4 linked regions of the Notamacropus eugenii genome follow. The protein of the gene in region 1 binds, or shares a complex with, the protein of each later gene. Links are inferred from orthologs where the notes say so. Each region holds a gene or a part of one and is shown on either strand. Other genes may lie near its edges. The genes, in order: NGFR, RIPK2, TRADD and ARHGDIA.

Region 1 (7,847 bases):
GACCTTTAGCTTCTGATTCATATCTCCCCTCTAGTCTCAGAAATCTGGGAAATAATTGGTCTTTTATAGCAAAAAATTCTTCTCCTGGACTCTTCTCTGCCCACCCAGTTCCCCCAGACATCTGTCATCCAGAGACGCCCAGATAAACCCCAGAGAGAGGAGAGATAAATAGGCCCAATTTTTCTCAACCTCTGTTCACAAGATAAGTTAATCTTCTAAACTAGAGGTTCTTAACCTGAAGCCGATGGACCCCCTAGGGATAGATTTGGGGGAGGGAAACCATGACCTGAATGAGAAAAAAAAACCTCCAAATAAAAATTTTGCATTTCCTTCAGTTTTTTAAGAAGGTGATTCTAAGAAGGGGTCCATGGGCTTCACCAGATTGTGAAAAGCATTCACAACACACCCAAAAAGCTTAAGAACTCCATTTCTGGTTAAAGCCTACAGCTAGATAGCCGAAGAAGGAGTGGTCATTGGGAGTGCCTGGTGGTAGTTCAGCCCTGATCCTACCTCAGCCCCACACCTAGGTCAGATCTGGCCATTCTCGGGGGGGGGGGGGGGGGGGGGGGTATTCCTCAGTCACCCCGATGACACTTACCACCACCTCCCTCAGACGATTCACTCCCGCTCCCCCCTTCCAGCACTTCAGCCTCAAGATCAATGCCATCTGAGCCATACAAAACAAAGTGCTTTGGGAGGCCCCAGGGAAAGTGTGGTCTCAGGCATTCAAAGCCTTTCGTGATTTGGCCACACCCACCCCATAGGGTCAATTTTGCAAGAAGGTAACCCTGCGAGTGTAGTTTCGGGGACCAGGCCAATTGAAGGTGCTTTCTTGTAGAGTCTGAGAAGAAATCCTCACCTGCCTTTCTCTCAGCCCCTGTGCCTGATTTAGAGCTATCAGAGCCTGATTCAGAGTGGGCACCTAGGAATACAGACTAATCTGACTGTCCCGCTCCATAGTTCCAATAATTGCTGGACTGGGGCCCCTTTGTGGGGGACACGCTGACCTTCACCTCAGACAGCTCTCCCCATGACTCAGCAAGAGAGGGATCCAGAAGATCCTGACATCCCACCCCATCCCCAGTCCCTGGCTAGCTTTTCAGAAGCCAGACATCCCTAGGTCCGATTTCTCTACTCTTAGAGAGGACGCCTCGGACCCAGAAATCCAGTCGTCAGCCCAGTTGGTCTTCTCTCTCTTCTGTTTCTCTCCCGGCTTCTTTTCTATCCCCCAGGGACCAGGGCTTTGCCCGGTAGAATGCCAAGCTTTCCCTCCGCCCCCACCAACTCCCAAGATTAGGAGCAGAGTAGACTCCTGAGACTGTTAAATCTTTCCCGCAGCAGGCAGCGGAGCCCGTTAGGGGAAGGCGGAGCTAGTTCAGATAGCGTGGAACAGAAGTGTGCGGGACAAAGTTGTAGGATTTGTAGACTGGCTACACCGAGCAGAGCAGGACTAATTTTTTAGGGAATGAATGGGATGGGATGAAACGAGAATGGACTGCAGCGGCTGGGGTTGCCCCATTTTCACTCTCCCCTGAGCGCCCTCTCTTGGCCACCGACCTCCCGGGTTCGGCACTTTATTCATTAAACCCCGGGAGCCAGATTTAGCTTGTATCCCCCCAGGGAACCCACCTTATTTGGTGCGTGGGACAATTCAGTTTCTCTGTCCTTTACTGGGCACCCGGACAACAGGTCAAGGAATCCCCTTTCTTTGCCTCTCTTTCTGCTTAAAACCAGCTTGTGGACGTTACCCCCTAGCCCACCACCAGGAAGGGCTCTGGGAAGCTCACGCCAAATGGGAGTGGGAGAAGAGAGTTGGAAGGATTTCGAGAAGAGTGACCGGTGATGCCCTAAGAGAACGGAGAACTCGGGCCCCAATCCCCTCTCCATCTGCAATCTCCGAGCTAGGTATGTCATAGAGGAAAATTGTCCTGACTAGCTCCCATGCTCTTAGTTTCTGATCTCACCTTCAGCCTTCTGGTCCTACCCATTTCATTGCTCCTTCAGCCCCCTTCTCTGTTCTCTGCCCCCACTTTTCGGCTTTCCTTTCCTCCTTGCCCTCCCCTGCTCCATCACTCTTTTCATGAACCCCCTTCTTGCTTATCTGCGCCTCCAACGCCCCTTCTCTGTAGGCATCCGGTTTCGTTCATTAGCGCATCCCCCTCCCCTCCCCTCATTGTCCTGCCCTGTCCCTATTGTCGGATGTCCCACCCTCGATACCTTCTGCCTGCCCTCAGCCCCCAATTCCCGTTCCCCACTGCCTCTACTGAAGCTTATCGCTGGAGCCTGCTCCCCCATTCCGTCTGTCCCGATGCTCAGTTACCCCACCCACCCCATCCCCTTCTCCACCGCTCCCTTGCTTCGTTGGTCCAACCGAAGCTCCTCTAGGTGATCCAGGCGTCGGAATACCCTCTACCTTAGCCAACCTACTCCTTCCAGGGACCGAAGAGTCGGAGCACCTCTCCTATCTCTCTCCCTTCATGACCCCACTCCAGGGACCAAAGCGCCCGAGTCCCCTTCTTGACTAGCTGAACCTCAACACCTCCCTCCGCTTCCGGAGAACCCAGGCATCTGAGTTGCCCCCTTCCTCCAAACACGCGCTTCTCTAAGAGACAGGCATCCCAGTCCCTTCAGGCATCAATGTTCTTCCAAGGTTCCTCGGAAAGACCGAGGCGTCGGTCCGAGTCTCTCCCACACTATTCCAGCGCACAGTGGCCCTGGAATTCAAGTTCTCCCTCCTAGCGTCCTCCCCTCTAGTATCCGCGGGCTCTGCTCGCCCTTCCAGCCCCAGTGCGTCCGAAGAGAGGACACCTCCCATTTGAACTCACCCCCAAGAGCAACAGCAGCAGCAAGCGGAACGACCCTTCCATGGCTGGGTAGGTGGACAAGACCACCCTTGGGTGCCTGGTGGCACCTCCCTCCCTCCCCCACCCAGCTTCCTTAGCTCAGTCCTTCTGGTCCTGCTTCTGCACTCGCCAGGAGCCAGCCGAGGCTCCGCTCCCTCTGACTGCTGGCAGGAGGTACTCGGGAGAGCCAGGGCTACGGCCCCGCCCCCTCCCCGCCCATACCGCCCACCCGTCCGGAACAGTGACTGCCCCGCCCCGCCACCCCTCAGTCCCGCTGCCTGGAGTGGGGAGGGGAGGGTGCAGGGGAGACCCGGCCATAAAGCCGAGCTGCTCCTCCATCACTCTCCCCACCTCCCACTCCCACCCCAGCCCTTTACAACCCATCCCCTGTCCCGAGCTTCCTCTTTCCCCGTCACCAACCTGTGCTGTGTTTTCAGGGCCTCTCTATCTCTCTCCTACCCTGCATCCCTTGGCTTCAGTTCTGTCTCCTTGTCGCTCTGCCAATCCTCTATTCTCTCCCCTTGTTTCGTATCTCAGTATCTACTTCTCTACAGTCCCTCCCTGCCCTTTCCTCTCTGCCTGTCCTCAACCTGATGTTTTTCACCTCTTTTCTGTTTATTTTTGTTGTTGTTGCTCTCTCCCCACCTATGATTAGAGTCGTCCCCCCTTCTCCCGCCACTCGAGGTCTCTTCCTCCCCACCTCCTGGGCAGTCACTTATCTACCTCCTGGCCCAGGCAAAAGCTCCGTTCTCTCTCTATGCAAAGGCCTTTCTGGAAGAAGGCAAGTGGAAATCTCTTGCCCTCCCTTCCTCAGTCTCCCTTCCAGGATGTAGTCGGTCATCTGAATTCTGAGGGAGAAGAATGGATATAGGGATGGAGTGGATCCCAATGATTGACTGAATTCTGTCTTTGCTCACAGCTGGGTCGGTTCCAGAAGTCTAGCGATCAGACATTGCCTTTGTCCCTCCCTCAAACTATACACATTCAGTGACACACAGGTGAGAACCAGGAATCACCAAGTAGGCATTTACACCCCTGAGCTACACCAATCTGGCCCTAGGACATTAACAGGTATTGAGGCTCCTCTCCTCTTGCCCTTTCCAGCCTTTTTAAGCCCTTGTGATAAAGGTGGGGCCAAGCTAGGGAACCAGTAGGACAACATGAGGACCAGCTCTTCACCAGTGACTCACAGAAGCTAGAATCTAAGAGCAGCATGGGACCTAGTCTGACCATTTTACAGAGGAGGAAGCTGAGATCCAGAGAGGCAAAACAACTTGCCAGTTGTTGCACAGCTAATAGGACTCACATTCCCTTTTCAGTTGGGGTTTCAAAGGACAAGAAGTCTTGGTTCCTTTGTGCTTTTGACACTTGTTACTGTGCTAGTTTATTACTTGTGGGACTAGTCTTGCCTTCTTAAAGGGGAGAATTACCCCCCCTCTTCTTATCCCCCTCACATGCTTTCATTTCAATTTCTGCCTACACAAAATGACATTAGCAATCTTACCCACCCTTTGCTTGAGGTAGGTACTATGGGTATAATTATTCCCACTTTTTGAATGAGTAAAACTGAGACTTAGGTTAAGCAACCTGCCTATGGTCACACAACTTGTGTCAGAAGCAGAGTTTGAATCCATTTTTCTGATTCCAAGCACATCGTCACATGATGAAAGGAACTCAGAATCCCTGGGGAAAGATCAGTGGAAACAAGAATTAGTTTCACTGGCTTTTCCAAGCACCAAATTTATTGATGGGAGGATTAAACTTTTTCTGTTTATCGTTGTTCCCCCCCAAAAATATTCCACTTATTAATGGGCTTGATTCTCTGAGCCAAAGGTTGGAGGATAGAATAGATAAACCTTCTTAAGGAAGCCCTTCATGGGTTTAAAAAAGGGAAGGAAAATTCTACTCCTTCTTTCTTATTTCTAACAGATGCAGCTGTTCCCCCTTGTGTTACTCTTATGGGTATGTTGTTCCTGTCAGTGGATGAAGTATATGGGAAGTTATGAAGGATAGGGAATGTTGTTGTTTAGTCATGTCTGACTTTGTAACACCATTTGGGAATACTGGAATGGCTTGCCTTTTCCTTCTCCAGTTCATTTTAAGATAAGGAAACTGAGGCAAACAGGGTTAAGTGACTTGCCCAAGGTCACACAACTAGTAAGTGTCTGATGTTGGATTTGAACTCTGACTCCAGGGCCCACACTCTATCCACTATGCCATCTAGCAGTAGTGTGAGAGTACGACATTCATACTGACCCAATAGCTAATATCAACAGTGTCATCAACCATATTGACAGTATAACATTAATTTTAATACTGATTTTCACAATCAACAAGTATTTATTAAATGCCTACTGAGTGTCAGGAAGTTTATTCAGCACTGGGGATACAAAAACAAGAGTGAAAGAATTCCTGCTTTCAAGGAGCTTACCTGCTAAAGGGGAAGAGATCATGAACATATATAAGTATTTATAGAAAAGAAACAAAATGAATACAAGATGATATGGAGAGAGAGGGTCATAGCAACTAGGGGCAGAGTTAGGAAAGGTTTCATGTAGAAAGTGGCGTTTGAGCTAAATCTTGAAGGTGACCAGGGATTCCAAGAGGTGGAGGTGAGGAAGAATTACATTCCAGAAATGGGGTACAGCAGATGCAAAGGCATGGAGCTGGGAGATGAAGTGTCCTCTGTGTGAAATAGCAAGTAGGTGAGTGTAGGTTGAGTGCAGACTTCATGGAAAGAAATAATGCATACTAATTAATAACACAATATAATATGACATCATAACACATATTACTGCTGTTCATAAGAGCACAGAATCATGGATTTAAAGCTTGAAGGGACCTTGGAGGTCATCTGGTCCAACATCTTAATTTTACAGATGAGGGCCTGTGATGTTGTTGTCCCATTCTTTGTTTTCAAAAAGGACATCATGGGGTGATGTCTTGACTTGCAAGTGAATTGGATTTAAGTGAAGCAGAGTTGCACAAAATCATCATCCTCACTCTTTTCCAGTCACCAAAGTTGAGTTGCAAGACAAAAGTCAAGATGTTTCTGACCCCAAGATGCAATGGATAACCTTGGAGTCTTCAATGTCTGACCAAGCTCTTAAGTGCTCCGCAGTGCCTCCTTCAGTCCTCTTCATGGTCGTTGGAACAAATTGTTCTCCTTGGCCCATTCTGCCTGGGGAAGTTTTCCCATGATAAGAAAAGGGAATTCAAGGACCTAAGGTCACACAAGTAGTTAGAGGCAGTCTAGCAAACCTCCATTCCTCAAAGGTATTTCCAGTGGAGTCATGGAGAGAGTCATGTGTAATTGAATATAACCTTAATGTGTTCTACTGAAAGATTGTTTATTGTTAATAACAATAGGAGGTAATTTTTATTATTATTTTATTATTATTAATAGTTTGGATAACAGTGCTCATTTAAGCAGTAACATAATTTTTATAGATATTATTATTAGGAGTATTATATGGGAAAGACAGCTTGCCACAGTAAATAGAGTGCTGGACTAAGAATAAAGAAGATGAGAGTTCAAATTCTGCCTTTGAGAATTATTATCTGTGTGACTGTGGGCAAATCACTTAAGCTCTAAGAATCTTGGGCAACTAATACTATAAATTATCAAGGGACTATAATCCATACTGGTGGAATTCTCTTGTAGTGGAAATTACTCATAGACTTTGAGAACTGGAAAGGGATCTTAGGCATCATCTAATCCAAGGTCCTAATTTTATGAATGAGGAAACTGAGGCCCAGGAATACAAAGTCATATAACTAGTGACAGAGTCAAGATGACAAGCTAGATTTTAGCACCACCAGTCTTGTGATCAGATCTAAACCAAATTCATTTGTATTGACCCTTTATATATTTTGTTACCTATTTATTTCGGGAGCTCCCGGTCTAACAGCAGAGGTAGGATCCCTAAATTTTTGTTCAAGTAGCATAGTTCAATACTTTAAGGATCTATGATTTCATGAGTGTGGGATCCTCCTCCACTGATACAGATCACAACTTATCCACACCTTAGGAAATGATTTCAAGACTGGCTCATACAAAAAAATTACATTCCATGGAAACCAGCTTTTGGTGATGAGAGTCTCCATATTTCCTTAGGTCCATTGATAGCAGGCACATTCTGTCATTGGTTTTATACCAGCCTTTTAAAGTTGCCATCAGTTTATGGTCCACTAACACAGCTTTGTGAGACCAGAGTCACATCTAAAGCATCAAAGTAGAAATTAAGGTATAGGGAAATATTCAATGATACAGATAGATTTACCCAGAGGTAGCATGTTATTTATAATAGAAAAGGGAGATCTGGTTTTAATATTTTCATAGTTTCATCATTTCTAGACCTAGCTCAGATTCTTCTCTTTCCTTCTCCAGGCAGCCTTCCCAGACTCTTCCAATCCCATTACAGATCAGTTCTTTCCTTCCAACCACTCCCAGACTCATTGTGTCTGGTTTATATTCTGTTCACTTCCTGTACCCTGGCCATAGATTCTATCTCCCCTCAAATATGGAATATATTTGCCAGCATCTCTCTAACAAATATTGTTTAGTATTGATGGCAAATGAACCACTGAATTTGGATTGACACTGTCATTTACTAGATGTGTAACTTTGTCTCAGTGGACCTCACTTTCCTCATTCATAAAATGGGGGCATTGGACAATGCTGCTTCTCTAGCCTCCAAAGTCTATTAAGTAGAATATGTTACTAATTGGCTCTATTCCACAAGGAAGTAGAAATGTCACTAATGATGATGGGAAGAACATCTGGGCCAGATCATATTCATACAGAAGAAATATACGTCAGGGGACACAATTTTTAAAGCACTAGGGGGTTAGTTTTCAAGATATGAGGAAGAAAGAAACTGAATGATTAGAGAGACCATATTGTACTAACACCAAAAAAAGGAGGGCGCAATGGAGAAGACACCAAGAAATGGAGTTCATAGAGTCTTGAGTCAGAGAAAACAATTAGGAAAATATTGCGGT
Region 2 (7,975 bases), on another chromosome or scaffold:
GGGCTACTGAAGCCTTAATAGCTGGCTACTTCCCATTTTTAGATGTTAATAGTTGAAGATAAGGTGGGAATGGGGGTTGGGGAGTGCAACAAGGGGAGGGGATCTTGACAGCCCTGAGAGGTAGAACCTGGCGGAGACTGAGCAATATTTTAAAAGAGGATTTAGAAAGAAAACACATACTACGTCTTTCACTAGGCTGTAGTTTAATATTACAAATCTACATACATTTGTAGCAGAAAGGTCCCTTAACCTTGAAGGTAAAACAAACAAATAAAAACCCTGAGTTTTCTGCCACCATCAGACCTTGGGCAAATCACTTAACTTCCCTGGATCCTCCTTTTTACTCTTGTAAAATTAAGAGGCTGACTTGCTTATGTCTCTTATAAGTTTAGGCTTCTATGATTCTGTGGGAGAAGAAAGTGTTTAGGTCATGAAAGTGAGACCACTGCAAAGTGACTGTAGGGTACAGTGAAGTTACAAAGGAAAGAACAGTGTACACACAGACTAGCATCTATGTCTAGAGTTGGCACAAACAGAATTGAAGGCTTGTGTTGCTAATATTTCTGGAACTGAAATCGAAAGGAGAGTTTCCTCAAACTTTAACCATTTCCCTTAAATCGACCAGTGGCCATTAGAGACAGTCTCCCACCAGTTACCACATACAATAAGAATGAGAGGTAGGTTCTCCAGCCTCCAGTGACTTCAATTCCAGAGTGGACTAGGAGGAATAACTCAAGTCTAATGTGCTATGGTATTTAAAATTTCTTAAAGTCAATCAACAAGAGGCACAACCATCAAAAACAAAACAAAAACCTTACTGTACCTTTACAATTATATATATTTTAAATGGCATATCCATAAAGGCCAAACACAAAACCAAAGCAAAGCAAAGGGAGGTGCATTTAGGGATGGCGTGGCAATGATGTGGGGTTTGGGATTTAGGAGACGGGCTGAAATCTGATTCTGGTCTAAGAAAAGGGACAAAAGAGCTGGATTTTCCCCACTCCCCTCTCCCACCTGCTTCTCCTGTAAATCACACGGCAGCCCGATTCAGGAGGAGGTGCCCGGCGGAGCAGGGAGGCGCTCACCTGCATAGGAGAGCATGTGCGCGCGCGCCTGTTACCTGACCACATCCACGAGCCACAGAGGGTATAGGGAAGGATCGGAGTGGTGGGAGTGCACCTTTAGGTGGCGGAGACCTGTGGCCCCCGAGGAAGGGCCGCGATGGTGAGGGTCATTACCTTTCCTGCAATGGGGACTGGAAATGCAGTTGCTTCACTGCCACCTGGACGCGCCAGTCGGAGTGGCGAGCCGAGTACACGGTGCCTGATGCCCCCCGGCTCAGGAAGTGCAGATCGGCGAGCTTGTAGTAAGGGATGGTGGGCAAGGAGCTGGAGATGGCTAGGCTGTCCCCGTTCATCCTCCTAGCCAGACCGGGAGGAGACAGCCCCAACTCTTCCAGCGAAAGTCCGGTGTTTCTGGAGGGACGGTTCCGCTTTGGCAGCGCTACTACGCTCCCACCTCCCGCTGCGGGAGCGCGGGCATTGGTGCTTCTCCCCTCCCCCCGGAGGGCAGCGGTCTGAGACTGGCTCCCTCCCCTTTAGCACCCTGAGAAAGTAAAGTCCCTTTTCCCCGACTCCGCTAACCCTCCCCGGCTGCAATCCAAACAGCCTCTGCAGTGCTTCGAGCCGCCCACAGCCCCGAAGGTGCTCCCCAGAAAGCGAGGGCAAAGTCCCGCCGAAGCTGCTCCGGTCTCAATGGGTGCTGCTTCTCTCCACCCGAGACCTACTCCCCCAGCCTTGGAGGAAACTGAAGAATTCTCCCGAACTCTGTGTGGGTCCGGCTCCGGCTGCTCCTCCCTTCCCAAGCTTGCCAGGCTACGTCAGCAGCTTAAAAGCGTCTCCAGCCTTGGATCCTGGCACTGGCCGCTCAGCGCACACTCCTCTTCCTTCCCCTCCCGGCTCCTCCCGCGCCGGGATCACCCGATTCAGTCCCTCACCCCCTGTGCCTCCGAGATCTCAGGCTCCGTGCCAGCCCTCTCAGCGTAAGAAGCCAGCCTCCAGGTCTCCACCCTGGGAAGACGCCTCCTCCTCTGAAAGGACTGTGGGGATGCTGCGCACGTTGTATGGGCTGTGGGGGAAAAGTTTCGCTCTAGAGTTTTAAAGAAGCGAGGCGATCGATCAGGAAACTCCTCTTTTGTTTTTTTTGTTTTTTCCTTCTACTCTCCCTTGGCTTCAGGAAAAGCCACACTTTCTTTTTGGGAAAACCCCTAAGTGTGCCCGGCCGGTTCTTTTCCGCTTGGTCAGCGGGATCTTCCATTCTCATTCCAGACTGCACGTACAACTCGGAAATTGCCAAACTGGAGAGCCAAGTCTGAGGTGGGGGAATTGGTGGGGCGGCTAGGGGAGAAAGTGCCAGCTGAACTGGATGGAAGACCTTGGTGAGAAACACTGGAAAACGTTGTTTTTGGAAGGGTTTATAAAATAATAAATTCTGACCTTTTTGGAGGGCGCCACGTGTTGGAGAATAATAAAGTCCCAGTCCCAGAAATCAGGTATTGCTTGTCCTACACTGTCTTTCCCATTGCTCCATCGATATAGGAGCTGCAGGGAAAGAAACCTATCATAATATATTATAAAGACATTTTACTCTTTTAATTCTTCCCCTCGAATCTTTTCTTCCTTCTCTTCATCTTTATTCCCCTATCAGCATATAAAAGTAGGATAAATGGAAAAGAAGGAAGGAAGGAAGACATTTCTCTGAATTTGCTCAGGGCTCCAGCTTTTGTAGGTGTCTAGATTTAGAACTGGAAAGGATTTCTGAGGTTGTATAATCCAACTTCACTTGGAGGTGAGGAAACTGAGTCCCAGAGAGTTAAAGTGACTTATCCAAGGTCACAGAGTGTCAATAAATGTCAGGGATTTGAATTCTGGTCTTTTGGCTTTGAAAAAATTGGGTACCTGAATCATTACACCAGGCAACCTCCCTTTGAGGGAAAAAAAAAAAATCTGACCAGTTAATTTTTTTTTTTTTTTTACAGAAAAGATGGACTAAATTTCTCATTGTTTTGTTTTTTTTCTCATTTGCCCACATTCCTTTGATGAGGATTTTGTAACTTTGTCTCTTTAGAAGGAAACTCAGATCTCAAATCTTGTATTTCTATCAAACCAAGCTTTGGCAATGAGTTACTTGTCCCTCTTTTATGGAAGGAATTGGGGTAGTTAGGGAGAAGAGAGAGGCTTTATGTGAGATTTCCAGTTTTGCTGATGGGGAAACCATAGTCCAGAGAAGTAAAATGACATGCACAAAATCGTCAGGTGCTATTGAGCCCACTGTGGGATGAATGTGGCAGCAACAGCAGAGGTAATCATCTAAACAATAGACTTGTAGATGTGGAATATCTGTCTGCTGTAGGCATCCTCATATTACTACTGTTACTTGAAGGTTGAGTAGCCATTATTGGTTTCATCAAGTATAAAATTATAACAAAAATCTTAAACTTCTCTTCTACTTTAAAATGTTTTCCTTTAGAGCAGCCGTGCCAAACTCAAAAAAGAGAGGATCATATATTGACTTAGAAAAAGGCAAATTAACATTACCTGTGTTGGATTGTATTTTTTTTTTTTAATTTTGTAAAACATTTCTCAATTGCATTTTGATTTGCTTAAATGGGCATTCAGCTAGGCCTCTTGTGGCCTATAGACTTCCAGTCTGATAGCTTTGCTTTAGAGAAATAGTTTGATAGATGGTGCTTTATCACACACTTGATATCCCACTGCTGATGGTGATCTAAAAGAATTCTACTTATGACCCCAGCCTGTAATTTAATTTTCCTAGATCACCATGTACTCCTCGAGTAGGTAGGATTTATGGAAATGAGCTGTAATTGGACTTCTAAACCTTTTCAGGTCTACCCAAATTCATCTTTATTTTTGCAAAACTCTAAACAATAGCCTATTTATTTGAAATATTTAAGAGAAGGCCCCTAAAGGAAAATCTAAGGTGCCTCACTTTACACCAGATCCAGGACACAGCCTTCATCTTACAGAATTAATATCTCCATGTCCTACAAAGGCAGACAGGCTTGGAGGGGGACACAGGGTGGCATGTGGCCAGGGAGCCTCTATGCACAGAAAGCTTATAGACCACAGGAATAGAGAAATCCAGGATGGTCTTCTTGAGCTCTTAGGAACATGCTTCAGACTACCTTGAAGTTCAGACATCTAATTAATTAGCTCCAGTACTTTGGCCATGTCAACAAGTCTAGCATCAAGCATTTGTTCATCTTGTTATGTTCTAGGCACTGTGCTAAGTCCTGGGGATACAAAGAATGAAAGAAAGAAATATAGTTCTTGCCTTCAACGAGCCTAAATTCTAATTGGTCATGATGTCGCTCAGTGTTTACTGTATTATTTTTGAAATCTTAAGGGTAGAGGCAGAATGTGATGGTCTAGTCCTTAATGGCCTCAGGAAGGATAGAGACCTTGAAGTTAAGAAGATTTGGATTTAAATCTTGTCTCTGACACATATCTGTTATGTAACTATAGACAAGTAACTTAAACTAACCTTTGATGCCCCGGGAAATTCTCAAAGATTAAAATATATACATGATTTGTATTTACAGATGGATTTTGCATGCTGAGAGTTCTCTACATTGATGAACTCATGAGTTAAGACAAAAACAAAGACAAAATATTTGTATATTGTGTTCTGCTGATTGCTGAAGGATTTGACTACTAATCATCTAATATGCTGCTAAAATTCTCACTGTAGATCTAATAAAATTTAATATAGAATCTCAGAGTTTGAAGGAATTTCACCAAACATCTAGTCCAGTCCAAACCTTTAAAAGAATGCCTCCTACGTTTTGCCCAATAAATGGCTACTCAGCTTTTGTCTAAGAACTACCTGTGAGGAGAAAATCCATTACTTTTCAAGTCAATCTGTTTCACTTTTAAAATTAAAAAAAAAATGAGAGCTAACATTTATATAGGAGTTACTATGTGCCAGGCACCTTAGTAAGTGCTTTGCAATTTTTGTCTTATTTAATCCTCACAACAACTCTGGGAGGTAGGTGTTATTATTATCCCCATTTTACAGATGAGGAAACTGAGGTAAACAGAGGTGAAGTGACTTTCCTGGGGTCACACAGGTCATAAGTATCTGAGGTCAGATTTGAACATGAATCATCCAGATTTCCCACCTGGAGCTCTATCTACTTCTCCATTAATCTTTTAAATTGATCCAATAGTAAGGAAGTTTCTTCTTGAAGTCATGCCTTAATTTGCCTCTTTGAAAATTCCAACCCTTACTACTAGTTCTGCTCTTTGTGATCAAATAAAACACATTGAATTCCTTTTCTACGTGAAAGTCTTTTTTCTTTTTTATTAAATTTTATTTTTTCAATGAACAAAAATCTATTTCCTTTCTACCCTGTATCACTGAAAAATAATTTTTAAAAAATCTTTCTTGATAACCTTTCAAGTTCTTGACACCTGTCATGACCCTCCTGCGTCTTTTCTTCTCTAAATTAAACATCTCAGGTCTCTCAACTGATTTTCATATGTCAGAAAATTAAAGCCCTTTACCATACTGGTTTCCTCTTTTGAATATTCTTAATTTATCCATATTCTTCTTAAAATGTGCCCCCAAATGATCACAATACTCCCAATATGGTCTTACCAGATCAGAGTTCTACCTCCTTGGGCTAGAAGTAATGCCTCTTTTAATGTTATCTAATTTTGTGTTAGTGTTCTTAGCTTTCATTTAGCTTGACTCATATTATTCTTGTAGAAAAGACGGCAAGATAATGAGATAGACAACAGTATAATTCTATGGATTTATAGCTGGTTAAATGGCCTGTCATTAAAGGTTTATTGTTAATTTGGAAGGAAGTCTCCTGTGGAGTACCAAGGGATCTGAGCTTAGCTTTGTACTGTTTAACATTTTTTGTCATTAACTCAGATTAACTATAGATGACATGCTTATTGAATTTACACATATCATAGAACTGGAAAGAATTCTTAACACAATGAATAACAGAGAAAGAATCTAAAAAGATCTTAGAAGGCTAGAATTTGGGGTCAAATTTCACAAAATGAAATTTACTAGAAATAAAGTATTGCACTAGAATTAAAAAAATCAAATTCACAAATATAAGATTGTGAAAGCATATTTAGGAAGTAGTTTGAAGAAGGAAAAAAGGCAGAAGGGGCCATAAACAGGAGTTTTGCTATCTTATTAAATTATATATTATATGTATACTTGTGTATATCTTAAAAAGAAACTGAACTAACAGAAGTTTGGTTTCTCATATAGATCTGTTTGCTCTCTGTTAAAATATCTGTGTTGTGGAGGTTTTGGTGGACCATAGACTAAATATCAGTAATAATGTAATGTGACAGCTAGAAAATCTAGTATGATCTTGGACTGCATTAAGAGCAATATAGTTTCTAAGAATAATAAGGAGGTGTATGGTCATGCTGTACTTTGCTCAGGTCAGACCATGTCAGGGGAAGAGCAGGCAGCATACTGTAGCTAGAGGCATGTCCTGGGGAGCGTGGAAGTCTGTGATTCTGGGACAGAACTTTTCTGTCTACTATCTTTGGAAACGGTGATGAAATGAGAGAAGAGAAAAGAATATTGGATAGAGCTTTGTGGTGTACTTACAGTTGGAGGCTGTGTTGTGGCTAATATCCAATAAAGGATACTGAGAAGGAGCAGTCAGTTAGGAAGAGAAGCAAGAAATTGTCCTGAAAACCTGGAGAGGAGAGCTAGCCAGGTGACGGTCAACAGTATCAAATGCTGCAGAGATGTCAAGGAGAATGAGGATTGAGCATGCTTCCTGTTTGATAACATTAGACAGGACAAGAGCCCTACAGTAAGCTACTCCAGGCCATTATGCTGGTTCATATTCCACTGGTCCCTTCAATTCAGCCAATATTTATTGAGTACCTGAAATTAAACTAAATAATTTTTCCTTTAAGAAGTCAGGCTATAACCTGTATTAATCTCTCTTTAAAATTATGCATGGTTTTGTGCCAATAAAAATTAGGGATGTAGAGCTCAAATCAGTATGAAACCTGTGCTTCACATGACAAGTTCTCTGTAGCAACATCTATGCAAGTTCCAACTTGGAGGGGAGCGTAAAATTGTGGCTCATATTATGTGGGTCAAAAGTGTGTCTGATATGATTGGGGAAGGTGTGTCCTCTAGAAAGTCTGGAGGATTTGTTGTGGTGAATCACGATAGGGTGCTGAATAATGACAGCAGATGATGCATAATGCTTATTGGGATAATAGGACATGAATAACCACACTGTTTTTCCTGCAATGGATTATGTAATATTGTATAGCAACATAGATGTAGTCATATTGTTAACAAAATGCCATGTAGAGATTGAGGTAGGTCATTCAAGATAGAGCCGTTGATTCCTTATCATAATTAAACACCCTAAAGAAATGGAGATGATTTATATGGTGTAAATATTTCTAAAGGCATTCTTTCTGTAAAGGGATTCTCCCTCTCTCTCTCTCTCTCTCTCTCTCTCTCTCTCTCTCTCTCTCTCTCTCTCTCTCTCTCTCTCTCTCTCTCCATCCATCCATCCATCCCTACATCCATCCCTCCAAGAGAATGAGAGACAGACAGACATAGTCCAGGAGGTCTGGAGGAGGGAACATCTCTTCACCTCCTCCTCTGCCTTCCTTTCACCCCTCCCTTCCATAACCCCCATTAATCATATCACTTTGAAGTGGTTCTATACACACTAGACATGCAGATAGAGAGAGGTAGTTATTCTAAGAAGGAAGCATCTTTAAGGAGGAAAGGGACTTCTGGCTGCAGAAAGGGAAGCCATCTCTATATCCAAGAGAGAGCTAGCCCTGGCATTTGAGAATTGAGCTGAAGAGCAGACCCTTAGAACGCACCTGAGGTAACATGGAGAGAACTATAGCTGTAACTGTCGCTCCCTTCTGCA
Region 3 (7,351 bases), on another chromosome or scaffold:
CAAATAATTAAAATCTTTCTAAAGTGGCATGGGGAGTGAGTTTCCCTTTAGACAGCTTCAAATGAAAACCAGATGATGTCTTGTTAGGGACACTGTAGAAAGAATTCTCAATTCTCAAGTTGACCCCCAAGGTCCCTCTCTACTCTGAAATTCTGTGATTCTGTTACGTTTTATTGACCTTGTCCCAGCCCAGTACACGGCATACAGTAAGCCCTTCAATGTTGGTTAAGACATCTCCTTCCTTCCTTTCTTCTCCTGTGCCTTGGCTCTATGCCAGCCAACTTAATTCCCCCTCCCCCCATCCATGCTAGTGGTCTCCAGTCCCCTCCTGGGCTTGTGCCCAAGGTTTCTTCCCTCTGCCCCTAACTAAGAGGTCTATCTTCCAGACTTTTTTTACACCCACCGTTCAGGGACTGGACAGGCAGAGCTGCTGAGTTCGAGAAGTAGGAAGGGAGGGTGGGGGATGGGCCCTAGTCCCTAAATCCAAAGGGGGAAGGATGGGAGTGGGGCGGGGCTGAGCCGGACCCAGCTCATTTCCGACCTTCAGATTTTCAGCTTGGCCTAGTGCTTGGCAAGAGCTAGGCTTGGAAATTGTGAGTAGGGCTCGATTTTTACCAAGTGTAAAACCCACTCTTAAAACCCTTAACTTCCCAGGGCCTCACTTTCCCCATGTGCAAGGAAGGGAAATGAACACTTGCACTCAAAGTTGTCCTGAGATATGCTCTTTGCAAACTTTATAAGTGCCTCAGAAATTCGAGCTGTCCCACGAAACCGTACTCCGAGCAGAGACTCCTGAGGCTCGGAACATCTCCCACGTGGGGCCGGGCCCTGGCCCGGGACAGCCCAGGCTAGCCAGCTGGAGGCCTAGAGAGCTGGTCTGAATCCGCTAGATCTCTTAGTCCGATTCCCTCCCGGAACCGATGCACACATCCCTCCATACCCACTCCAGCCCAGGACCCCGCTTATGCCTGGCTGCTCTAACCAGGCCAAACCTGGTAGGAGGAACCCAGACCTGCGCCCTAGTGCCCTCGGTCCACTGGCCCCTGGCCATCCCACCCCTCCCCAACTCGTGCCGTGCCTTCTCCCCATCTAAGCTCCCCGCGGACACTAACCAAGCCGTCCGGTCCCCGCTGCTCCGGCTCTCGCAGACACCGGTTCTGTCCACCCGTTCTTCCGGGTTTGCGCAGAGCCCCAGGGGAGGGGGAGCGGGGAGGAGGAAGGAAAAGGGGAGGAGCAGAGCTGGCTCCCAGTCCCGGGATCCCCCGAGCTTCGCCGTGTGGGCCGCCCCTGGCGAGCAGCCAGGGCAGTTAAGAAGCGTAAACACCGGAGCTACGTAGTGGATGGGTATAAAGGCCTAAGGGCCTCGGTCCTTCCTCTGACCCAGCCCGATCCAAGCCTATGGACCAGCCTAAACTCCTGTGAGTCAGCCATCCCTGAGTCAGTCTAGCTGGCCCTGGAAATTCAGGAATCCCAGTAACCCTTTCAGCTGGAGATCCGAGGTCCGCGCACTGGGGCAGGTAAGAAACCTCCTGATCGCGGTTAGCTGGCAAGAACTTCTCAACTGGGAGGTATGAGTGATACTCACGGGGTCTGAGGAAGGTTGAGGCATGTGAAGTGCTGGGAAAAGCCCAGGGCTTGGAATCAGAAGGTGTCGGTTGGAGTCTCGACCTCTGCCACCTAGATAATCACTTTCCCTCTCCGTCTTTTTCCTCTTCTGCAAAAGAAGGGTAATAGCTACCATTTATATTACGTTTTCAGGTTTAGAAAAGGCTTTACGTATTATCTCGTTTGAACTCAACAGCTCTGTGAAATAGGCGCTATTATTATTCCCATTTTACGGATGCGGAAACTGAGGCTGAGACGGGTTAAGTAATTTGCCCAAGGTCACACTGCTAGTTCGTATTTGTGACAGGATTTGAACTCGGGTCTTTCTGACTCCAATCACTATCCCCTATGTCACTTAACTCTGGCTAGCCCATGAAGATTGTTGTGAGGAAAGCCGGACAACTGTGGTTTATTATTTGTCTTCTATTAGGACCCCTACCTACGGGCGTGGGGGAAGGAAAAGGGGATCCACAGGATGGGGATTCATGTTCAATTTGCCTTTTGGGAGTGACGGAGACTTAGAGGTCCCTGGCTTCTGTGGGCTAGACTTCCTGGGATAGCTCAAACAGAACCGGCCTCCGAAAACCTCACCTCACCCCACCCTATGCCTCATACTTTGAACTTTGAAAAGAAGACGTGGGGACCCATGATAGTATAGGGCAGAGCCGGTTAGGAAAATCTCGAGAGGTGGTTGGTGGCAGCCGGGGCAGTCTCCATTTCCCTAGAGCTTTAAAACTGAAAAAGCACTGGAATTGGTCGCGCAAATATCATTACCACCACAACTGAGGAAACGTGGCGATGTGACTTGCCCACAGACACACAATCAGTGTCAGAGACAGGATTTCGAACCAGGTTCTCTGACACTGAGTCCAAGGTTTCCACTACCTCAAACTCCCAGACCTGGGGGTGGAAGGAGAGGGACTTTCCAGGACCGGCTGTCTCCTCCGCCACCGAGCCCGGCCTCACCCAGCTTACAACCTGCCAATCTGTTCTAGGACACTTTAACCTCCACCACTAACCTGGGCTATAGGACTGGGAGAACGACAGGTGAAGGAGGACCTGGCTCTCCTCCCAGAAACGGAAACAACTGATAGAGGCCCCTGCCCCCAAAAGAGGGAATCCACAGGGTTGATGGCTTGTAGGTTCAGAGGCGAACAGCTGAGAGGTACAGAGGGCTGCAGACACCTGATTGATGTCCAGGGCACCCAGAGTAGAAGGACCAGCCTCCATTCCGCAGCTTTATCAGAGTTCGGCCCCGCCCAGGCTGGTGATTGGCTACTGGTCCCCAGCTGATTTGAATGAACCATTCACGTCTCTACTTGGGGCTCAAGAACCCTACCCATTTAACTCCTTCACTGCCCCAAGCTGGTGGGTGTCAGTGGAAAAGAGGCTCTGTTATCCCAAATGGCAGCTAGACTCAAGGGGTAACGTTGGCAGACCTTGTCAGGGTCATCCCGTAGCCGTGAGAGTGAGCTCCGGCTTCCTTGGATTCTACAGGGGCTCTGGGAGCAAGGGAGTCGGCGTTGGGGCGAAGGTGGAGGCAGAGAAAAAGTCCCCAAAGCCCCACCCCGAGTTCGGGCCCTGGGCTGCTGAGCTCCGCAGAGCCCGGCCAGGAGCCCCCGGCCTCGAAATGGTCCGCTCTCCAGCGTAGGGCCAAGTGTTCGCCCTTCTCGAAGTTCCAGGCAAAATATAGTCCTGAGAAGGCCCACAGAGCTGAAGGAAAAGCCGGAAGGCCACGGCCTCGGGTACGGTCCAGTCTCTCGGTCCGGTTAGTAAGTGACGGACCCGCCCAAAGGGCGGCGACGCTCAGGCCCAGGTTGTGGCTGTGTCCTGGATTCCGAGGCCGAGAGACAATTTATTCCGGGCCAGAAGGAAGAAAGTTGATTGTGATCTTTGTAACAATCGAGCGTATCGGGGGAAGGGGCGGAGGAGGGCGGAGTGAGGGAAGAGAAGTCAAATTCACAAGCTTTTATTAAGCATCCTGTGTGTGTTAGGTACTGCCCTAAATTCCTGCCTTCAAAGAGCGCACATTCTAACGGAGGAGACAAAGTTCAAACAGCTACGTACACTCCAGCTACAGGCGGGATGAATGGGAGGTAATTTCGGTAGAAAGGCACCAGCGTTAAGGGGGATGGGGAAAGGTGTCTTGCAGGAGGGATGACCTGAAAGAAGGGAAGCAGTCATCCTTCTGGGCCATTACTTTGGAAAGACTCAGTACTGTCCTGATGATAGGCAGTGTGCATGGAAATGGAAGATGAGGGGAGGCATCGGAGAGGGATTCGACTTTATTCTCTAAGCTCCCCCCGCCCCCAAAATAAGGGCATTGAACACAATTTGGCATAGTGTGAATGGCAGAGCTAAGTGAATGTGAGACCAGTCAATAAGCATTTATTAAGCACCTACTATGTACTGGGGACTGGAGATAAAAAGAAAGACAGTCCCTCAAGGTGTTTATCCAATACAGGAGATCACAAGCAAATATATTCAAACAAGCTGTGTACAGGATAAACGGGAAATAATTAATTACTAGAATTAAGAGGGATTGAGAAAGGTTTGCTACAGAAGGTGAGATCTGAAGAAAGCCAGGGAAGCTGGGAGGAAGAGATGAAGAGGTAGAGCACTCCAGACCTGGGAGACAAAAAAAAAAAAATGTCAAAAATCAGAAGACGGAGTGTCTGGTTGGAGGAACAGCTAGGAAACCAGTGTGGCTGGATCACAGATTATGTGGAGGTAGGAGAGGGGTGTAAAATGTAAGAAAGGCTGGAAAGGTAGGGTGGGGAGAAGGAACTAGGCTAAACAGATTTTTGTATTTTATTCTGGTGGTGCTAGTCACTGGAGTTATTGAGTCGGAGTGTGACATGGTCAGACTTATGCTTTAGGAATGGAAGAACAGGAATAAGAGAGAGACTTAGGGCAGGCAGATCTATTGGAATAATCCAGGCATGAAGGGATGAGAACCTTCATTAGAGTCATGCTACTGTTAGAGGAGACAAAGGGTGTGTTTGTGAAATGCTGCAAAAGTGAAATCAACAGTTAGATATGAGATGAGAGAAGGTGAGGGTGAGAGGAAGTGAAGAATCCAGAACTACTGGTATGTTGTGAGCCTGAAGGACAGTGAGAACAGAAGGATGGTACTCTCCATGGTAATAGGGAGGTTTGGAAGTGGGGAAGATTTGAGGGGGGGGGGGAGGGACCTAGAATGTTAGAGATAGAAAAGAGCTTATAATGTTAGACCACAGTACATAGAATATTATAGCTGGGAGGAATTTTAGAAGTCCCAGAGGTTCTTAACTTTTTCTGTGTAATGATCCAACCCTTGGGCAGTCTGTGGAAGCCTATAGTCTCTTTAGAATGTTTTTAAATGCATAAAATAAAATATTTAGAATTATAAAGGAAGCCAGTTATATTGAAATGTTTATAAAATTTTTAAATCAAATTTATGGACCTCTGATTAAGAACTGCTGCTTTCCAGTCTGTCTTATTTTTTACGTTTGCTGGATAAATATAATCTTAAAACAAAAGACAGATTGACCATATTAACACTGAGAGGGGTAAGCATGTGGAATGTATTGCCCTGTGAGAAGGCATATGCTGAAAATTAAAGGAATCTACAATGAGGTTTTAAAGAACGTTATCACACAAGTCCCTGAGGATACTAGGCCAAACCTAGGTCTGTTTGTAGGGATCCAAGCTGATGTTCTCATGGAAACCCCCACCCTAAGGTAGTTTCCCCAGCCATGCAAGGCATTGAGTAGGAGCAGGGGGAGAGTTCACTGAGTGGGTGGTTCTTTCCCTTTGAGTCATGCCCTGGTCTCTATCCTCAGACCAGCTCCAGTCACTCTGCAGAAGGATCAGCAGACAGGGATCCTTTGGAGCTCAACCACCTTCCCAATGGCTGAATCATGGAAATACCTCCCTGAAGAATTGCTTTCATTGATCTTTCGATACTTACCCCTTCGTGACCGATATGCGGTTTCCCAGGTCTGCCAGGCTTGGGCCACTGCTGTCAACTCAAGCTCTGTGTGGTACATCACAGATATCAGGTGAGGAAGCCTTAGGGACCTACAGTAGGAGCCCCTTCCTTTCAAGAGTTCTAAACTCCAAAAGTACCTGGGTGGCAGGCACAGTGGAGAAAGCACTGAACCTGCCATCAGGAAGATCGAAGTTCGAATCTGGCCTTGGACCTGTGCTACTGTGTGGCTCTGGACAAGTCCCTTAACCTTACTTTAGCCTCTGTTTCATCATCTATAAAAGGGTATAATAATAATAATACCACCTGCCTTATAGGGTTGATATGAGGATTAAATGAAATATTTGTAAAGTGCTTTACAAACCCTAAAGAGTTATAGAAATGCTAGTAATGTTATTTACTATTATTATTATTTAATTTAACTGAGGTCCCAGGACACCTTAGCCATAGAGCAAAATTCAAACTGATAGCAAAGGATCAGTTCTGGCACTTTAGCTTTCAGTAAGTACTATCAGCAGAATTAGAATAACTGACTCCAAATGAGTGACTGTTCCCCATTAATGATTACATGTGAGAGAGCGTGGCTGGCCCAGGTTATCAGTTCCACCCACTTCCCAGTGATCTTGGCTAATAGACTCATGCTTACACAGCTGCCAGCTTCCACTCTTACCCCTGAGGAAGTGAGTCGGTTCCCTAGGGTCTACTGAAAAGTTTTATAACATTGTAAATATTCAGCAAACTGTAATAACGCAGACATTGCCCTAAAGCCCTGCCTCATGGAGGCTCAGACACCAGAGATGGAGAGAAGGTTCCTCATCTCCTATGTCCTGCCTCCAAGTAGGAAGGAAGGGGCCTGCAGGGAGGTTTACTGATTTGGCTACATGGAGTTGTTGGTCCTCGAACCTCACATTCTGGAAACTATGCCAGTAGATAAGGAGCATACAGTAACAGGTCCAACCAATCTGCAACGGCTTCAGGCACCTACCCAGTGGCTTTTTGGTTGTCCAAGGCCTAACCTAGCTAATTCACTTGGCTTCAATTCAACAGGTAGTTATTAAATGCCTACCATGTGCCAAGTCTTCGAAAGAAAAGAATGAAAGGAAAAAAGAAAGGGAAGAAGGGAGGAAAAAGGGGGAAGGAGGGAGGAAAAAGGAGGAAGGGGAAAGGAAGTAAGAAAAGAAGGAAGGAAGGAGTCTCTATCTTTCAAGGAGTTTGCATGCTGTTGAAATGTAGCTAAATATGAAAGAGCTCAGAGCCAATCAGGCAAACAGTTAATAGCATTGAATTAACATTTTTTTAAAAAATTTATTCTGAACTTAACAAATTCTAAATTGAATGGGCATTTGCGTATGCATGGTAAATCAGAAAAAGGAGATTGTGCAGGTCTTCTTTTATGTATATAATAAGTTCAAGCTTTTTTAGTTTTTTAAAATCTGTTCTGCTTCTTTGGCCTTCTTTCTCTTCCTTCTGTTTTCTTCTTTTCATTTAAAAAAAAAGTTGCCTCAAGACTAGGATTTTCCTTCCTTCTTTCCTTCTTTTCTTTCTCTTTACTCCTCCTATCCTTATCTCCCCTCAGCCTCTCACTCCACCCTCAATGGAAAAAGGAGAAAAAAGCAAACCAAAACCCTGGTAACAGATATTTGTAGTCAAGCAAAACACATTCCTTCATTGGTCATGTCAGGAAATGTATTCTTTATTTTGCATCCTGAGTCAGTCACCTTCTGCCAAAAAATGAGTAGCATGCTTCCTTATCAGTCCTCTGCAATAAGAATTGGT
Region 4 (7,618 bases), about 25 Mb from region 1:
CAGTTCTATGGCATCTCTCACATCTATACTCTTCTCTCTACACATAACAGTACATCAGAGTAGTTCAAGCTTTCACTATTTCTTGCCTGGATTACTAAAGGTTTTCTGTCTGCTTTTCACAACCTGGCCCTATCATATCTTTTCAGCCTTGTAAGACATAATATCCTGTCTCAAACTCTGAGATCCAACCAAACTGTCCTTTTTCCTCTGTTCCTCATAAGTGACACTTCCATCTCCCATGTACAGCATACCTTGTTTGCACTGACTGTTCCTCATACTTGGAATGCAATCCTTCCTTACCTCCAACTGAAAGAACCTCTTTATTTGAGACCCAGCTCAAGCACCACCATTTCCATCGAAGTTTTCCATCCCTCAACTATCAGGTATCTGGGTTCACCACACCATAACCACCTTATGAAGAGGCATTATTTCATTTATTTTATTTGCATTCCACAGTGCCTGATACATAACAGGGAATTACAAAATGCTTGCTTGATTAACTGAATAGCCTCTTAATTGGTCTCCTTGCCTCCAGTCTCTGCTCTACATCCAGGAAGCCAAAAACCTGCTAAATGGATATTCTTAAAGTAGAACCTGCCCCTGTCACTACCCTTTTCAAGAAGTCCAGAGGCTCCCTACTTCCACTAGGATAAAACTGAACATTCTTTTGTATGGAGATTTAAAGCCCTTTACAACCTGGCTTCAACACATCTTTCTAGACTTATCACATATTACTTCCCTTCAAACAATTTATGGTCCAAGTCAAACTGACCTACTTGATATTTATTATTCCCTGTACATACAACTTTCCAATTCTTGCCTCAATGCTTTGGAACAGGCTGTTCCATGCGTGGTGGATCCTCTTAGAATGCCTCTCTCCCTTCCAAGCCCTCCCTCATGAGGCCTTTCATACCACCTTTACCTTATATAAAGTAATTCAATATAGACTTTTAGGTGCATATTTGGTTTCCCCTGATTGAACCTTAAGCTCCTCCTCAAAGGCAGAAGTTTCCTTTTTTTGTCTTTGTAACATCAGTATCTAGCAATGTGAGGCACCTCACAGTTGTTTAATAAATGCTTATTGATTTAAAATTTCTCCTTGCCCTTCCATCCCAATCCCTCAATAGCATCACCATGAAACCACAATCCATTCATGTTGCATTTGGATTTGCAGAAATCATCTAAGTAACAGGAGATGTGGCTCTTATGTAAAATCAGAAGCCCAAATAGGGTTAGATCCTAGGTCATCATCCTCAGTCTGAGAACAATTTGGGAAGAGAATGAAGTTCCTAGAATAACCCCGAGATTCAGGGCCCAGAATAAGAGCCCATAACTCTATTTCCCTAAATATTGATAAATTAAGCAATCACAGAAAACAGGCTTAGGAATGGGAACAGGATGAATTTTAAGCAGTTCCCAACATCCCTAGAGGCATAAATTTAGAACCAAAGGTAAAAGAAATCAAGCAGTCCAGAAATTATTTAATATTAAGAATCCAACCTGTAGTATATTTCCTTAGAAACAGGAGATATAATCACAGACAGTATTTAGACTCATAAAGTATTAAAGCAGAAAAGGACCAAAGAAACCATCTAATCCAAAGGTCCTTAATCTGGGATGAGAGGGGGGAATGCACGAATTTGAGTGGGGAGAAAAATTCATTTTTATTTTCACTAACTGAAATTTAGCTTTCTTCTGGGAAGGGGTCCGCAGGTTTCACCAGATTGTCAAAGGGGTTCATGAAACAAACAAAAAAGGTTTAGAAAGCCCAGATCTAGTCGAACTACCTCTTTTAAAAAAAATGAGGGAACTGAGAGCCAAAGCTCTTTTCAATCAGTCAATAAACATGTGAAGGCCCCCTCCAGAGTAGTGGTATGGCACGGTGCTAAGCGCAGGGGATACCAAGAGAGGGAAAAGGCAGTCCCCTGCCCTCAAGGGGCTCAGAGGAATGGGAGGAGCTCTTTGACATCTACTGGTTTTTTTTTCCTCCCCCCTATAGTGCAGCCAGTTTCACTAGGATGCCGTTAGAGTGTGGGTGGCTCCGAAAAAAAGGGGATTTTTTTTAAAAGACCAAATGTGGGGCGCAGAAAGGAAAGACTGATTTCTAAACATGATCCCAAGGGCCAAGTCTCCATGGCCTCCAGGGTCACTTCCTCTTTGGCTTACCCCCCGGGCTCCTCGAGCTCCCTCCATTCCAAGGGCTGTCAATCTCGGCACGCCGCCTCGCCCCACTTGCTGCCTGCCAGGAGCCGGGGCTTGCTCCTCCGAGCCTGGACCTCCCTGTCCCTGCCTCTGGCTGCCCCCTCTCCTCTCCTCTCCTCTCCACGTGGGCGCGGCTCACCTTGGACGCCATCTGTGCCTCTGGCCAGCTCCTGGCTCTTTCTGCCTGCCTGGGCTTCATCTCAGCCTCTTCCCTCTAAGGGGCTCTGCCGGAAGGGATGTGCTGAGGAAGGGGCGGGGATGGGTGGGCAGCTTCCCCCTCCCGTACTCCCCCACCTTGCCAGGGGGCCAGCAGGAAGCCCCGAGCAGCTGTCACCTCCCCCGTTCCCGGCGGCTGCGCTGCCCCTCCCGCGGCCTCCGCCCGGGCGGATACCCCTGGTCCCTGGGTGCAGAGAGCCTTCGCCGCCGCCGCCTCCCAGCGGGGCTGGGGACAGAGTTCCCCGAGGCCCTCCACCCCAGACCCCGGACTCCGGGCGGAGACGTCGCGCCCAGGCTGGGGGCGGCAGAACAAAGGCAGCAGCAGAGGCTGCAGCGGCCGCGGCGACGGCTCCACCCTGACGTCCCTCCCCTCCAGCCGGTGGCGGCGGCTCTCCCTTCCTCGTCCCGCCCTCCCGGGGAGGTCCGGAAGAGCAGCAGCGGCTCCGGGATGAAGGGTGGACTCCCCGGAGCCCGGTCACTCACTCACCGACGAGTTCGACGCGTCCGCCGCCTCTCGCGCTCCCTCCCGCACTAACGACGAACCGAGTGGGCCGGCTCCACCCCGCCCGCGCGCCCCCTCCAGTCGCTTCCGGGGTCACGCGACTTCCGCTCGCCAGCCTCTAAGCGGTAGCAAGCAAGCGAGCGGGCGGGCGGGCGGCCTGGGTCTGCGCAAGCGCCCACACCACTTGTCCCTTCCCCCAGTAGGCTGAGGCGCTAGGAGGTGAAGGAGGCCTTCCTCAGCCTCCACCCACCCACCCACCCACCCACGGGGAGGGAGGGGGAAGGGAAGGTGCTGAAGCGGGCCAGGACCATAGAGAAATGCTCTGGAGGAAAGAGAGTAGCCTGCGCCCGGCCATCTTGCCGAGGTTGGCGGCGACTGAGACTTCTGAGGCATTCCCGGTTGGCCCCGGTTTGGGGGTGTCTGTGCGTGCCCGGTAGGGTTTCCGGTGCCGGGCCTGAGGCCTGTGCTGTTCCCAGAGAACAGCCCGTGGGGTGAATCCGGCTGGGCCGGAGGGCCAGACTCCCTTCCCTGTCTCCATGGAAACCAGGGGATGCCCCAGAGTCGAGCTAGGCATGTGATGCCCTCCAGTTGGGGGGAGGGCAGGGGAGGCGTCTGCGAATCAGGCACCCCCGCGGGAGCCTCCCCTTTCCCTCCCCCGCCTTTCCGTCAGTTGAGGAAAGTCGCTTAAGTTAGCCTTGTATGATAATAATAATAATAGCATTTGTAGAGCGTTTTATTAGTAATACTTATAGAGCGCTTTAATGACCATGACAGCTAGCGTCTAGCTCCCAGAAGCTTGCAGAGCACTTCACATTTATCATCACATCTGCTGCTCACGTACCGCGAGGTCTGCTCTTAGCATCCCCATTTTACACGTGAGGAAACAGGCGGAGCGAGTGTAAGTGATTTATACAAAGTAACAACTAGTAAATGTCTGGGGCAGGATTGGAACTGCATTCTGGTCCTCCGGACTCCCGTGTCCAAGGTCCTATCCATTTCATCACCTAGCTTATCTGTCAGTAGCTGATGAATCATTTTATTTAGCGAACATTTAATGAGCTCCCTGCTATATACAGAGGCATCTTCTTATGCTGGACAGAAAACTAACTGCCTAGTTAGGAACACCTTGGTTCAAGTTCTGTCCTGGCTAAAGTGATTTCTCCTGTCGGTGCCACCGGGCAACTGTAAGACAAAAAGTTACATGCTAGTTACCTGTATGGAGTGGACGAAATTTCCATACTAGATAGGCACTTGATAAGATATGAAGGTGAAATAAGGTACAGTAGCTTCCAGTTATAGTAGGGGAGTTGAAACAAGTACATTGTCTATATGTAGTAAATTAGAATATAAGTGCATTAAAATCATGTTTGATCTGTGAATCTAAATGTCAGAGTTCTTAAAGATGCCAGGTTTCTAGGAGCCCTGGCTGTGGCTGTCCCCCTCCCCACCCTGGAACCCATCTAAATATTATATACCACAGTTTACCAGATGACTTCCACTTTGCTGTGGAGATGTTCCACGCTGTGTTTAAGCACCCAAATAACCCCGCTAGGGTTTCTCTATAAGAGAATAATAATATTATTAATTATAATATATTAATAATAAGAGGACAGGTGCATTTAGGACAGCATAATGTCTGCCAGTAAGGGCTTAATGCTTATTAACTGAGTAGACAGTGACTTTTAAGCTAAATTTAATTCTAATTCATATTTAAAGACTACCAAAAAGTTGAATGTTACTTAAAATTCTAGAGACACTAGCGTCTGTGTGTTATTCTTCTGTCATCTTTCAGATTTTTGTCTTTGCATTCTTCTGAAACATGAATGTGGTTCTAGAATTTGACTTTCAATCTGTCTTCCAATTTCACCAGTGATTATTTTATTGAACTTTTTTAAAAAGTTGAATGTTTCCTTTTATTTTTATGCCAGTCTGACATTGAAGAACCAGATACTATCCTCACTCTTCTCCACTAAAGGGTCCCTCTGCTCCTGACCCAGACACACAGTCAGATCTAGGTCAATGGGAGGATAGTTAGGTTTATACCAGAGCTACATACAGAGATGGTCATACCTTTGATCTTGTCATCATCCACAAGTGTTTCATATCTATGTTCATAAATTGTGAAATCCCTTTATCTGATCAGTGTGTTCTCATCCCACCTCTCCCTCTGCCTTACAATTCTAAGCTCTGTTCTTTGTTCTTATTTTGACCTCCAAAACCTTCAGTTTTTTCCCTGACCATCATCCTTGCACTTATACTCTCTTTCCTTCCCTACCTAGTCCTCCTTAGGAACCAGTTTAACTTTACCCTATCTTCTCCAGTCCCTTGCTGATTAACCCTGATTATGGAGTTTGTCTTCTCATATTCCAGCCTTGGATTACTCCCAGCACTCACTGCCTTTGTTCCTACTAAAGGCATTACTGAATGAAGTCAGAGAAAAATCAAGAAACTTTGCTAACTAGGTCCACTAAAAGTTTATGTTGCATGATCTCAACTGCAGCAAGGGATCTTTCCTAATTGAGCCCACTTGCCTTTGGGGCTAATTCCATTCCACCCAGTCTTCTCCAGCAGATTGCCCCCTCTCATTAATCTTCATTTGCCCCCAGTCTGTTGTCTACTTCCCTATTACCTATAAATATGCCCATGTCTCTGCCAGCTTAAAAAAAACCCCGCCACTTGTACTGTCCATCCTTGGTAGCTATATAACCCTCCTCATTTCTGTGGCCAAACTTGAAAAAGCAATCTACAACCAGTGCCTCCACTTCCTTTTCTCTCACTTTCCTTAACCTTCTGCAATCTGGCTTCTGACTCATTATTCAACCAAAACTGCTTTCTCCAAAGTTACCAGTGATCTCTTAATTGCCAAATCGAATCACCTTTTCTCAGTCTTCATCATTTTTTACTTCTCTGTAGCCTCTGATATTGTTAATTTGTTGGTTTTTCTGACATTGCTTTCTCCTGATTCTCCTACAAGCCTGACCACTCCTTTGTCTCTTTTGCTGGATCTTCAGCCAGGTCATGCCTGCTAACAATGGCTATCCCCCTTCTTCTCCCTCTATATTATTTCATTTATCAGTCTCATTCACTTCCATTATTTCAGTTATCATCTCTATGCAGATGACTTTCAGATCTTATTTGTCCAGTCCTAACCTCTCCCCTGAACTCCAGCTTTTACCTTTACTCGCCTTTTAGACATCTCAAACTGAGTGTCCAGTAAACATCTTAAACAAAACATGTCCAAAACCAAACTCATTATCTTTCACACCATTTTCTTTCTCCATCTTCCAAACTTCTTTACTCCCTGTTGAGAAGACCACCATTCTCCCAGGCATACAACCTGTCATTCTCAGCTTCTCACTTTCTGTCTTCCCAAGTACAGTTAAGTTCAATCATTTCTACTCATACCTCATCAGTACCTTCTGCCCCTCTGATTGGAGGGTGGAGGTATAAACTCCTCCATTTAAGGAAAAGGAACAAGTCAGACCTCACAGATATTTCTTCATTCCCATTCTATGGCATTCATTTTGGTCTTCTTTGACTTTTCACCATGCCCCTGGGCCAGGTACCTCCTCTCTGAAACCCCCTTCAGCTTTCTTTTGTATGTTGTCTTCCCCTGTTAGATGGGAAACTCCTTGAGGGCAAGAGTTGCCTTTTTCTATATTTGTATCCCCCATAGCTTAGCACATGTATGGCACATACTAGATGCTTAAGAAATGTTGACTATTGTTTCTACCTTCATAACATCTTAACTATAGGTCCTCTCTCTCCTCTAACTTTGCACCTACCTTAGTACAAGCCTGTATCACATCACACATGGGCTATTTCTACAGTAGCCTTTGGTTGGTTTCCCTGTCTCCAGTCTGTCTTCCACTCAGCTATTAAATAGATCTTCCTAAAATGCATGTCTGGCTACTTTCCTCCCCCTAAAATTTTAATAAACTCTAGTGGCTCCCTCTTACCTCTGGGATCAACTATTAAATCTTGTTTGGCTTTCAAAGCTCTTCATAACCTGGCTCCTATCTTTTCCAGTTTTCCTACGCTTTAGTCTCCAATACTCTCCAATAGAGTGACACTGATGTCCTTATTGATCTTTTCACAGGACACTCCCTATCCTGATTCAGGGTTTTCACTGGCTAGAACCCTCTCCCTTCTCATCTCTTAACTTCCAGCTTTCCTGGCTTCCCTCAAGTCTCAGCTAAAGTTAAACCTTCTGCATTAAGCTTTTCATTCTGAGATCACCCCAATGTGTCCTGTATATAGTTTGTACAAAATCTTTTACATGTTGTCTCCTCCATTAAACTGTGAGCTCCTTGAGAGCAGGGACTAGTTGTTTTGCCTTTATTTGTATCCTTAGCTCAGCATAGTGCTCGATACATGATAGACAGTTAATGTTAGTTGGACAGACTAATGAGAGGAAGACTAGACTCCCTGTTCTCAGATTTTTGGGATAATTAAACCCTTACCCTAATGCTCCTGGGGATGAATTATTTAAAATTTTGGTTTAGCCTCCTGTCTAGGAATTCCCCAAAAGGAAAAATACCGAATGTACCTTATGAATCAGGTTTGGGATTGGTATTGATTTCCTACACATAAAGAGAATGCTAAACACAGAACCTTCACAAGCACACCTTTGATAGAAATAAACTTAAAACAAGATTCAGTAATAACTTAGAACTGTTAGAATTTTCTAAGAGGTTG

The links.
Region 2: the proteins of NGFR (region 1) and RIPK2 are in contact, whole or in part, in an NMR structure (PDB 2N83), measured with the Homo sapiens proteins. The link is inferred for Notamacropus eugenii from reciprocal best matches to the Homo sapiens genes NGFR and RIPK2. Residues at the interface, in NP_002498.1 of Homo sapiens: Gly334, Leu335, Ser338, Leu339, Pro340, Lys343, Val347, Ser354, Ala355, Asp357, Arg360, His361, Gly364, Glu365, Tyr368, Pro370, Ile373, Asp374, Leu398, Asp399, Leu401, Leu402, Arg406, Arg407, Ile408, Gln409, Arg410, Ala411, Asp412, Val414; in NP_003812.1 of Homo sapiens: Gln437, Ser465, Arg466, Asp467, Leu468, Met470, Glu472, Asp495, Ile496, Gln497, Gly498, Glu499, Glu500, Lys503, Ile523, Leu524, Val526, Ser527, Arg528, Ser529, Pro530, Ser531, Leu532, Asn533, Leu534, Gln536.
Region 3: the proteins of NGFR (region 1) and TRADD are in contact, whole or in part, in an NMR structure (PDB 7CSQ), measured with the Homo sapiens proteins. The link is inferred for Notamacropus eugenii from reciprocal best matches to the Homo sapiens genes NGFR and TRADD. Residues at the interface, in NP_002498.1 of Homo sapiens: Glu345, Glu346, Glu348, Lys349, Leu350, Asn352, Gly353, Ser354, Ala355, Glu379, Ala380, Cys381, Arg384, Glu420; in NP_001310481.1 of Homo sapiens: Thr201, Phe202, Asn211, Ala275, Glu276, Arg278, Arg279, Thr281, Gln283, Arg284, Glu287.
Region 4: the proteins of NGFR (region 1) and ARHGDIA are in contact, whole or in part, in an NMR structure (PDB 8X8T), measured with the Homo sapiens proteins. The link is inferred for Notamacropus eugenii from reciprocal best matches to the Homo sapiens genes NGFR and ARHGDIA. Residues at the interface, in NP_002498.1 of Homo sapiens: Arg274, Trp275, Ser277, Cys278, Lys279, Gln280, Lys282, Gln283, Gly284, Ala285, Ser287, Arg288, Pro289, Val290, Asn291, Gln292, Thr293, Pro294, Pro295, Pro296, Glu299, Lys300, Leu301, Ile307, Ser308, Val309, Gln312, Ser313, Asp316, Gln317; in NP_001172006.1 of Homo sapiens: Ala8, Glu9, Leu11, Ala12, Gln13, Ile14, Ala15, Ala16, Glu17, Asn18, Glu19, Glu20, Asp21, Glu22, Val25, Pro30, Ala31, Gln32, Lys33, Ile35, Gln36, Glu37, Ile38, Gln39, Glu40, Leu41, Asp42, Lys43, Asp44, Asp45.

What each region holds. Positions count from the first base shown.
Region 1 is NC_092873.1:351,342,420-351,350,266, forward strand, and holds the start of NGFR (tumor necrosis factor receptor superfamily member 16), read right to left. Parts: upstream 3,003-7,847; 5' UTR 2,868-3,002; coding exon 2,826-2,867; intron 1-2,825. UniProt on the Homo sapiens protein: Low affinity receptor which can bind to NGF, BDNF, NTF3, and NTF4. Forms a heterodimeric receptor with SORCS2 that binds the precursor forms of NGF, BDNF and NTF3 with high affinity, and has much lower affinity for mature NGF and BDNF.
Region 2 is NC_092875.1:164,404,458-164,412,432, forward strand, and holds the start of RIPK2 (receptor-interacting serine/threonine-protein kinase 2), read right to left. Parts: upstream 3,003-7,975; 5' UTR 1,421-3,002; coding exon 1,242-1,420; intron 1-1,241.
Region 3 is NC_092872.1:694,973,611-694,980,961, forward strand, and holds the start of TRADD (tumor necrosis factor receptor type 1-associated DEATH domain protein), read right to left. Parts: upstream 3,015-7,351; 5' UTR 2,913-3,014; coding exon 2,625-2,912; intron 1,715-2,624; coding exon 1,586-1,714; intron 1,518-1,585; exon of another isoform or gene 1,289-1,517; intron 1,247-1,288; exon of another isoform or gene 1,113-1,246; intron 1-1,112. Other genes in the region: FBXL8 (F-box/LRR-repeat protein 8), read left to right, coding at 3,691-3,701, 5,430-5,648. UniProt on the Homo sapiens protein: Adapter molecule for TNFRSF1A/TNFR1 that specifically associates with the cytoplasmic domain of activated TNFRSF1A/TNFR1 mediating its interaction with FADD.
Region 4 is NC_092873.1:325,952,465-325,960,082, forward strand, and holds the start of ARHGDIA (rho GDP-dissociation inhibitor 1), read right to left. Parts: upstream 3,010-7,618; 5' UTR 2,906-3,009; intron 2,427-2,905; exon of another isoform or gene 2,342-2,426; intron 1-2,341. UniProt on the Homo sapiens protein: Controls Rho proteins homeostasis. Regulates the GDP/GTP exchange reaction of the Rho proteins by inhibiting the dissociation of GDP from them, and the subsequent binding of GTP to them.